Oryctolagus cuniculus: one gene and its partners. The protein of the gene in region 1 interacts with the protein of each later gene in a biochemical or structural test. Links are inferred from orthologs where the notes say so. Each region holds a gene or a part of one and is shown in the gene's direction. Other genes may lie near its edges.

What was found.
Region 2: the proteins of SMAD3 (region 1) and JUN form a complex in vitro, tested with the Homo sapiens proteins (3 studies listed by BioGRID). The link is inferred for Oryctolagus cuniculus from reciprocal best matches to the Homo sapiens genes SMAD3 and JUN.
Region 3: the proteins of SMAD3 (region 1) and PIN1 form a complex in vitro, tested with the Homo sapiens proteins (2 studies listed by BioGRID, with this or other methods). The link is inferred for Oryctolagus cuniculus from reciprocal best matches to the Homo sapiens genes SMAD3 and PIN1.

Annotation. Positions count from the first base shown.
Region 1 is NC_091443.1:89,967,381-89,970,655, forward strand, and holds part of SMAD3 (mothers against decapentaplegic homolog 3), read left to right. Parts: intron 1-1,686; coding exon 1,687-1,810; 3' UTR 1,811-3,275. UniProt on the Homo sapiens protein: Receptor-regulated SMAD (R-SMAD) that is an intracellular signal transducer and transcriptional modulator activated by TGF-beta (transforming growth factor) and activin type 1 receptor kinases.
Region 2 is NC_091438.1:114,259,007-114,261,688, forward strand, and holds JUN (transcription factor Jun), read left to right. Parts: upstream 1-999; coding exon 1,000-2,013; 3' UTR 2,014-2,114; downstream 2,115-2,682. UniProt on the Homo sapiens protein: Transcription factor that recognizes and binds to the AP-1 consensus motif 5'-TGA[GC]TCA-3'.
Region 3 is NC_091447.1:67,370,515-67,374,162, reverse strand, and holds the end of PIN1 (peptidyl-prolyl cis-trans isomerase NIMA-interacting 1), read left to right. Parts: intron 1-2,078; coding exon 2,079-2,189; intron 2,190-2,977; coding exon 2,978-3,087; 3' UTR 3,088-3,502; downstream 3,503-3,648. UniProt on the Homo sapiens protein: Peptidyl-prolyl cis/trans isomerase (PPIase) that binds to and isomerizes specific phosphorylated Ser/Thr-Pro (pSer/Thr-Pro) motifs.

The DNA of each region.
Region 1 (3,275 bases):
AGGTGAACAAGAGTGCCCCTGGGCAGCAGGGCCGTGGGCCCCTCCCGCCCCCCTCCCGGCCTGTGCCTGCGGCAGACGCTGCGGTACCCGCACGTCAGCTGGAGCCAGCGCCGTGCGAGTTACTCTCCCCTTCATTTTTCCAGATGTTTGGACTCCCATTTTGTTTTGCAGTCACTCTGCACCCAGGCCAAACCCATTTCAGTGTTGGCGCGGGGCCACCGTTCATAATGAGATCCAGATGAGCGTGACTTATGGAAAGTCGGATTCTCATTAGAGGCTTTCGCCCCGCACGGTCGTCCTCCTCGTGTTTGGGCTGCCGTGCTCGGGGCTGCCCCGCGGGGCTGGGGAGCGCAGTGGCGTGGTCTCCGGGGTCTTGCTGAAACCCAGCACCGGTGATCCGTGGAGCCGGCATGGCGGTCAGACCTCAGAACTGGCGGCCGTCTTCTGACGGCTGCAGAGATTAGCCCAGGCCCAGCGGGCCAGCCGGGAAGCACCCAAACTGACCTTTTAGCCCTGGCACGGACCAGGTAGGGAACAAGAGTGGAAGATTAGCGTTAGTTTTTTTTTTTTTTTTTTTTTTTGGAGAAGACAGGGAAAGGGAAATACTTAAAGGCGGCCCTCCGTGGAGAAGAGCCAGGGGAAGTCCATTTGCTCACTCTTCTCACACCCGGACTGTAGCCCAAGGGGCCACGCATGGTCCCTTCCATCAGGTGGACCCCTGCAGGGCCGTCAGCGGGCAGGGGTGCTTAGGCCAGGCCAGGCAGGCAGTGCCCGGCCCAGTGCGGCGTTGCGGCCGTCCAGCCCTGCGTGCCCCAAGGGGCTCCTCGGCGGCAGACGCCCTCCCCGGCAGGCCGCCGGGCCAGCACACGCCGTGCTCGCAGCCCACCGCGTCACCGCCGCCTGGCAGTGCCGCACGGCAGCCCGACGGGCAGGCGCGGCCCCTTCCCGGAAGAGTCTTGCCGCCCTCCTGCGTCTCGGGCCAAGGGGAGTAGGGTTTCAGCCCTTGTCTGTGCGAGGAGGCCGAGGGCAGGGCCCAGGCCCGCTGCTCTCACCTCCAGCTGGCACGGGCCACCGCGGCCTCAGCAGATAGCCTCGGGGAGCCGGCCTGCGGGCTGCGTCATCCGCCAGCCTGAATTGAGACGGAGTGCTTTGGGGTGCGCCTCGGTTTTTTCCAGTAATTGTTCCATGGCTCGCTCTGCTCGGAAGATTTTCCAAAATAAGGCCGTAGATGGGAATTGTATCAGCACATGGGGAGCGGAAGGCATGTGCGCTGTCGGTGCGTTGCTCGGAACGCCCCTCCGCCAGACAGACACGCATCACCACGGCGGGCCGGGCCGGGCCGGGCCTGTGTCTGGAGCCGCTGGTGCCCACCTGGGACACACAGGAGCTGGCCTGGAGGGCTTCCACTGCGGGGCCTTGGGGGTGCCCTGGCCTTGACTTCACATTTACCTCTTTCGGGCCACCTCCCTCCCCCCATTCCCCGGCTCGGGATCTGCTCAGGGACCTTGGCCCTGCTAGTTTCAGCGGATGGTTGGGACCTCCTCTAGGGCAGCATGGAGCCAGGTTACGGTGTAGCTGGCTTTGGGGGGGAAGACTGTCACAGAGGAGGGTGTTGTGACTTGCCTGTGTTTCCTCCTGGACGTTTTTAAACGTCCCCTACCTGCAACCCTGCCTTGTTTCTTGCAGGAGACAGACAGTGACCAGCACCCCCTGCTGGATCGAGCTGCACCTGAATGGGCCTTTGCAGTGGCTGGACAAGGTCCTCACCCAGATGGGCTCCCCCAGCATCCGCTGTTCCAGTGTGTCCTAGAGGTGTGGGCGGGGAGGGGGAGGGGCTGCGCTGGGGCAGTGACCGTGAGGAGGGCGCGAATATTCGAACTCTGATCCATTGATTATTGTCAAGGAAGAAGGACTTTTTCTCCCTCCGGTGGCACCAGCCTGTTTTCTAAAACAGAGGTGAGCACAGGAGCAGCACTTCCGAAGGGCTGCGTCTGCTGAACGCACCGACTGCCCTTTGGCCCTGCTTCGAGGACGAGGATGGTGTCTGCTCTGGGGGCCTGGAGTGAGTGGGTGGGATTTCACCACCTGCCCCTCCCCTGCCGCTTCCTTCTCTTCATGATAGCAACGTGGGATGTCCCGGCTCAACAGGAGGTGCCCCCTCTGTCTGGGACCGCTGTGTCAAGTTCACCTCCGAAGGATGTTCTAGGTAGGGGGCAAAGCCTGCCTGGCCACGGGCAGACTTCCTGCCTCTTCTCCGGGGCTCCCAGCCAAGCCTCCTGTCCTGCAGGCCCTGTGCCTTGAGAGGCTGGACGGGCAGGGGGCTTGGGCAGCTCCATCCACTCTCAGAGCATACTGATGGCTGTGTGTTCAGCACTGCACACGTGACAGTGGCGAAAGCGCCACCTCCTCTTTCAAAACTCTTAAAATGTGTCCTTTCTCACTTCGAAAAGTTGGAAGGATCTGCTGAGGCCCCGTGCGAACGCAATGTATGGTTTCTATTATCGCATCAGTCTCAAAGAGATTCGAACGACGTCAGGTGTTCACACGCAGCAGGAGGCAGGTGGCGTGTGGGCTGCGGCGGCCCCGGACTGTGTCTCCCGCCTTTAAGAGCGTGCACTGGTTCATGCAGTCCATCGTGTTAATTAAATCAACTTTATTGTATGCTCTTTTAAATGTCTGCTCCGGATTAGGAAAAACACGACACGACACCCTGGGTTGACGCATTACTGGGAGCTAAGAGAGGGCTCCTCCAACAACCGTCCCAAGGTGAAGTGTTTCCCGGCTTCCCAAGGAGGCAGCCGCCAGCGTTTCTGGAAGCTGACACTTCCGGGAGCAAACATGCCGGAAGGGGAACCTCGCAGGCCCACGGGCCGGTGCGAAGGCCGCGCACAGTGGTTCTGCGCCTTTGGAGACTGCAGGCGGCCCTGGTGATGACACTGGCAGCTACGCCGGGTGAGCCCACGAGCACAAACTATTTCAACTGGAAAAAGGGGCCCTCTTCTTTCACGGGCCTTTTGCAGAATACAGCAGACGGAATCGTCACCTGCAATTGGTACTTTCTTCTTTGCTGCTGGTTTTTTTTTTTTTTTTTTTTGGATGAAATGACGTATCTCACCTTTTTTGCATGGACTTATACCAGGAAAAGTAAAGGGATTTCCTATGGAAGTCCTGTCTTACTCCAGGAAGTGCGTGTTTGGGCAGGTTCTGAGCCTCGGATGTGATGAGACTTCCGGCCTTCCGTGACGACGCTGGGTGCTTCCCCGAGCCTGCGTCTC
Region 2 (2,682 bases), on another chromosome or scaffold:
CCCCCCAGAGAGCGACGCGAGCCAATGGGAAGGCCTTGGGGTGACATCATGGGCTATTTTTAGGGGTTGACTGGTAGCAGATAAGTGTTGCGCTCGGGCTGGATAAGGGCTCAGAGTTGCACTGAGTGTGGCTGAAGCGGCGAGGCGGGAGTGGAGGTGCGCGGATTGAGGGAGACAGACACACAGACACAGTCCGCCCGCCCCGCCAGGACGCCCGTAGAGTGCGATCCGCACGGCTGCGTTGCTTTGCCAACTGCCCCGCGCTAGCGCCTGTGGATCCCGGGCTGGTGTTTGGGGGGAGCACCTGGAGAGCTGCTGCTTCTCCAGCCGCCCCCGGGGAGGAGAGCCCCACCGCACGAGCGCAGCTGACAGCCGCGGAGAGCGGCGACTGCAGCGGCCAAGAACTTTCCGAGCCGGGAGGACCGGGGACAAGTGGCCCGGAGTCCCGGAGCGAACTTTTGCAAACCTTTCCTGCGCTATTTGGGCTTGCCGCGGCGGCAGCAAAGAAAAGCAAGGCGGCGGAGAGAGGAGCGAAGAGGAGCGACGCGCGCGCGGCTCCGCTCGCCCCGGCCTCTGAACTTGACCGGCGCGAGCCGCTGCCGCCGGGAGCCCCCTGCCCCTCGCAGCGGAAGAGGGCACAGTCTCCGGGAGTCCGGGCGGCCGAGACCCGCCGCCACTGCGGGGCACCGCGCCGCGCCGCCGGGGAGCCTCCGAAGGGCGCGCAGTGAGTGACCGCGACTTTTCAAAGGCGGGCAGGCGCGCGCGAGCGGCCGAGGAGTGCGGGCGAGCGTCTGAACCCCGCCGCTCCCGGGAGCGGGGGCCGGTGAGCGGGGCGCCCAGGGGGAAGACAGCCCGCGGGTGCGCGCGCGCTCCGAAACTTTTCCTTTGCCAGAGGCCCGGGGAGGCGCGGGGTGCTCCCCGCCCGCCAGCGCGCTGTCGCGGCCCCGAAACTTGTGCGCGCAGCCCAAAGTAAGCCCACGTGAAGTGACGGACTGTTCTATGAGTGCAAAGATGGAAACGACCTTCTACGACGATGCCCTCAACGCCTCGTTCCTGCAGACCGAGAGCGGCGCCTACGGCTACAGTAACCCCAAGATCCTGAAACAGAGCATGACCCTGAACCTGGCCGACCCGGTGGGCAGCCTGAAGCCGCACCTCCGCGCCAAGAACTCGGACCTCCTCACCTCTCCCGACGTGGGGCTGCTCAAGCTGGCGTCGCCCGAGCTGGAGCGCCTCATCATCCAGTCCAGCAACGGGCACATCACCACCACGCCGACCCCCACCCAGTTCCTGTGCCCCAAGAACGTGACCGACGAGCAGGAGGGCTTCGCCGAGGGCTTCGTGCGCGCCCTGGCCGAGCTGCACAGCCAGAACACGCTGCCCAGCGTCACGTCCGCGGCGCAGCCGGTCAGCGGGGCGGGCATGGTGGCTCCGGCCGTGGCCTCGGTGGCGGGCGGCGGCGGCGGCAGCGGCGGCTTCAGCGCCGGCCTGCACAGCGAGCCGCCTGTCTACGCCAACCTCAGCAACTTCAACCCGAGCGCGCTGAGCAGCGGCGGCGGGGCGCCCTCCTACGGCGCGGCCGGCCTGGCCTTTCCCGCGCAGCCCCAGCAGCAACAGCCGCCGCCGCCGCCGCAGCCGCCGCACCACCTGCCCCAGCAGATCCCCGTGCAGCACCCGCGGCTGCAGGCGCTCAAGGAGGAGCCGCAGACCGTGCCCGAGATGCCCGGCGAGACGCCGCCCCTGTCCCCCATTGACATGGAGTCCCAGGAGCGGATCAAGGCGGAGAGGAAGCGCATGAGGAACCGCATCGCCGCCTCCAAGTGCCGGAAAAGGAAGCTGGAGAGGATCGCTCGGCTGGAGGAAAAAGTGAAAACCTTGAAAGCGCAGAACTCGGAGCTGGCGTCCACGGCCAACATGCTCAGGGAACAGGTGGCACAGCTGAAACAGAAAGTCATGAACCACGTTAACAGCGGGTGCCAACTCATGCTAACGCAGCAGTTGCAAACGTTCTGAGGACAGACTGTCGAGGGCTGAGGGGCGACGAAGAAAAAGAAAACAAAACCAACAGAGAGACAGTCTTGCGAACTTGACCGGTTGCGACAGCGAGAAAAAAATAAAAAAGACGCGTCCGAGGACTAAGGCCAAGGGTATCCAAGCCGGGCTGGGTTGCGTCCTGACGGCGCCCCCAGTGTGCACGAGTGGGAAGGACTTGGCGCGCGCTCCCCTTGGCGCGGAGCCAGGGAGCGGCCGCCTGCGGGCGGCCCCGCTCGGCGGAAGGGCTGTCCCCGCGCCATCACGACGGTAGACTTTTCTTTAACATTGACCAAGAACTGCATGGACCTAACATTCGATCTCATTCAGTATTAAAGGGGGGGAGGGGCGGGGTGACAAACTGCCATAGAGACTGTAGATCGCTTCTGTAGTACTCCTTAAGAACCCGACCGGGAGGGCTGGGGAGGGGCGGCGGGGGGCGGGGAGGGAGCCGGGGAGGGCCAGGCTGAGCCTGCAGATACACTCTTTCTGGCCTGCCTTCGTTAACCGTGTATGTACAGATATCTATTTTTTAATTTGATGAAAGCTGATTACTGTCAATAAACAGCTTCATGCCTTTGTAAGTTATTTCATGTTTGTTCGTTTGGGTGTCCTGCCCAGTGTTGTTTGTAAATAAGAGATTTGGAGCAC
Region 3 (3,648 bases), on another chromosome or scaffold:
GCAGGTAGAGTGTGGTGGTGTGTAGGTACAGCCGTAGGAGGTAGAGTGTGGTGGTGTGTAGGTAGAGAGTGTGGTGTGTAGGTACAGCCGTAGGAGGTAGAGTGTGGTGGTGTGTAGGTAGAGTCGCAGGAGGTAGAGTGTGGTGGTGTGTAGGTCGAGTGTGATGGTGTGTAGTAGAGTCGCAGGAGGTAGAGTGGTGGTGTGTAGGTAGAGTCACAGCAGGTAAAGTGTGGTGGTGTGCAGGTAGAGTCGCAGGAGGTAGAGTGTGGTGGTGTGTAGGTAGAGTTGCAGGAGGTAGAGTGTGGTGGTGTGTAGGTAGAGTTGCAGGAGGTAGAGTGTGGTGGTGTGTAGGTAGAGTCGCAGGAGGTAGAGTGTGGTGGTGTGTAGGTCGAGTGTGATGGTGTGTAGGTAGAGTCGCAGGAGGTAGAGTGTGGTGGTGTGCAGGTAGCGTGTGGTGTGTAGGTCAGACCAGACTCTGAGGAAGTCTGCAGCAGCCCAGCCTCAGGCAGACGCCCAGGCTGGCTTTCCAGGCCACCCAGCACCGATTAAATCAGCCAGCGCTCGGGCACATGCCAGGCAGCCGTGTCAGTGACGTTCACACCTGGCAGGTCCATGGGCAGACAGGAGCAACAGGTGGCAGTGTCAGGGTGCTGTGAACCCCGCCGGCAGGTGTGCGGCCCCCAGAGCCCCCTGGGGACTGGCTGCTGGCCGAGCTGGGAATGGACGGCGAGCCTCGGGAGCTGCTCAGGATGGCAGCTGTGCAGCCCGGGAAGGGGCCGGCAAGGCCACCCTGCGTGCTGGAGGGCCCGTGGAGGGCAGGGAAGCACAGGCTGCTGCCCACCTCGAGGGCTGCCTGGACTCAGGAGGGCGACTGGCAGCTGCTTTCCATTGTGTGTGTGCGCCCAGTCACACGTGGTCACACATGCACACGGCGGCAACTGGCAGCTCCTTTCCATCGGGAGTGTGTGTGTGTGTGTGTGTGTGCGCTCAGTCACACATGTTCACACATGCACACAGCAACAGCTGGCAGCTCCTTTCCATTGGAGGATGTGTGTGTGTGTGTGCACTGTCACATGCAGTAACACACACAGCGGCAACTGGCAGCTCCTTTCCATCGGGAGTGTGTGCATGTGTGTGTGTGCTCAGTCACACGTGGTCACACATGCACACGGCGGCAACTGGCAGCTCCTTTCCATTGGGTGTGTGTGTGTGTGTTTGTGTGTGTATGCCAGTCACACGCAGTCACACATGCACACAATGACAACTGGCAGCTCCTTTCCATTGGGGGTGTGTGCACGTGTATGTGTGTGCCCTGTCACACGTGGTCACACATGCACACAATGACAACTGGCAGCTCCTTTCCATTGGGGGTGTGTGCACGTGTATGTGTGTGCCCTGTCACACACAGTTACACATGCACACAATGACAACTGGCAGCTCCTTTCCATTGGGGGTGTGTGCACGTGTATGTGTGCGCCCTGTCACACGTGGTCACACATGCACACGGCGACAACTGGCAGCTCCTTTCCACTGGGAGTGTGCATGTGTGTGGGTGTGCCCAGTCACGCGTCTGTGCCGCCGTGCTCTGTGCACTGGGGAAGTGCTGGAGTAGGAGTCGTGTGGCTCTGGGGCCACAGTGCAAAGGCCTTGCACAGCCCTACCCGGGCCACATGGGGGTCTCTTCCCAGCACCCCTCCCACTTGCCCCAGATCTGACAGCTGGGGCCCGCAGGCTGGGCCTCGGTGGATTCCCGTGGTAGAACTGGGCCTGTCCCCCAAACCCTCTCTAGGAAACTCCCCCAGCCCTGCTCTGAGGACCCCAGCCCCCTGCCGCCGAGTCCAGAGCCTCTCCCGGTGCCTTGCTCTCCTCCACCCCGTTGGGCTTGGTTTAGATTTTTCTCTGAGATGTGTGTGCGCACGCGTGGGCTGGGGAGACCAGCGTGGCTGTCCGTACTGCAGGGTTGTGCATGTATGTGGACACACTACAGCGGGTGGCACTGGGGAGGGTGTGCACAGCTGCTCCAGGAGTGAGGGCCTCACCCCACTCCTGACGTGGAGCCTCCCCTGTCCTGTCCACAGGCTACATCCAGAAGATCAAGTCGGGAGAGGAGGACTTTGAGTCTCTGGCCTCGCAGTTCAGCGACTGCAGCTCGGCCAAGGCCAGGGGAGACCTGGGTGCCTTCAGCAGAGGTGCGAGAGTGGGCACCAGCCCTGACCCCCACTGCCGCCCTCAGTGGGTAGAGACTGGAGTGGGCCAGCCTGGCTCCCCGGAGCAGTCCCTGCTGCACAGGCCTTCGGGGTCCACTAGGTGGCAGCACAGTCCCTCCCTGGGGCCTCAGAGGCTCTCCCTGCTGGGGGAAGAGGGGAGGGAGGGGTGAGTAAGGGCTGCAGAACATCGTGGGTCACCAAGCAGGCTGTGTCCTGTCATTGGGCACTCGTGTAAGGCTGGGCCCCTCAGTGCCCCAGGGCATGTCCCCCAGCATTGCCACTCTACTCCCAGAGGTGGGGAAACCGTGGGTGAGGGCAGCAGCTCGGGTGGGCAGCCCTAGTCGGCCTGTCTGGCCAGGGCAGGGGCCGGGGGCCCAGGATGGGGTGGGGGTGTGGGAGAGTGGGGAAGGCCACGAGGGGCTGTGGCTCCCTGATGCCCCCGCGAGGCCAGCAGGACAGATGCTGTGGCCGGGCGGGGAGCCAGGCGCTGGGAGGACAGTTCATCACCAGAATGCGCCTCTAAATGTGCGGCCGTGGCAGCTCTGCCTGCCATCCCTCATGCTGTCCTCGCCTTCCCAGGGCCTCCGTAATGGCCCCGCCACCCCCAGCTGAGCCACAGCGCTGCACCGTGACAGGGCCATAAAGTGGGTGACGGATGAGCGCAGATGAGCGCGAGGCTCAGCGCAGGCAGGAGCCCCATCTGCGCCGTCCCCGCCTGCCCGCCTCGGCCTTGACACCTCTCCTCCCTCCCCGGCCCTCCCCATTCCCAGGTCAGATGCAGAAGCCATTCGAAGACGCCTCGTTTGCGCTGCGGACAGGGGAGATGAGCGGGCCTGTGTTCACAGATTCCGGCATCCACATCATCTTGCGCACAGAGTGAGGGCTGTGGGTGGCTGGGGCCGGCGGGCGGGGCGGGCGGGGCTGCAGCCCCTGCTCCCCCTGCCGCTGCCACACAGTATTTATTGTACCCTAAATGGCTGGGAGGAAGCTCTGGGGTCCCCGCTCCCCACCCACCCACCTGCAGTTGGGGCCATCAATGCCTGGCTTCAAGGAATTCTGAAGGGCAGCGGGGCTGGGGAGGCGCCTGGGCCCTGGGGAGGGGTGATGGGTCCCAGAGGCCTAGTCCTCTCAGCTGCCCGGGGCCTGGAGGCGGGCAGGCGCCTGCGCTGTTGTTTCTAGTTACACCTTGTTCCTCTATTCAGTTGAAAATGCGAACGAACGTGGGGTGCCTGGTTGGGGGTCCTCTGGGCCACAGCACAGCACCCTTTTCATCCTCGATTAAACCCAGAACCACTGCTCTGCTGTCCTGTGTCTCATTTTCTCCCTGTGAGGCATGGGGGGGGAGGGGACCATCCTCCATCCCAGATGTCCGGGTGATCCCTGACAGGCCGCCCCTCTTCCTGGACCTGAGGAAACCTCGAGGGAATTCTTCCCAGCAGCC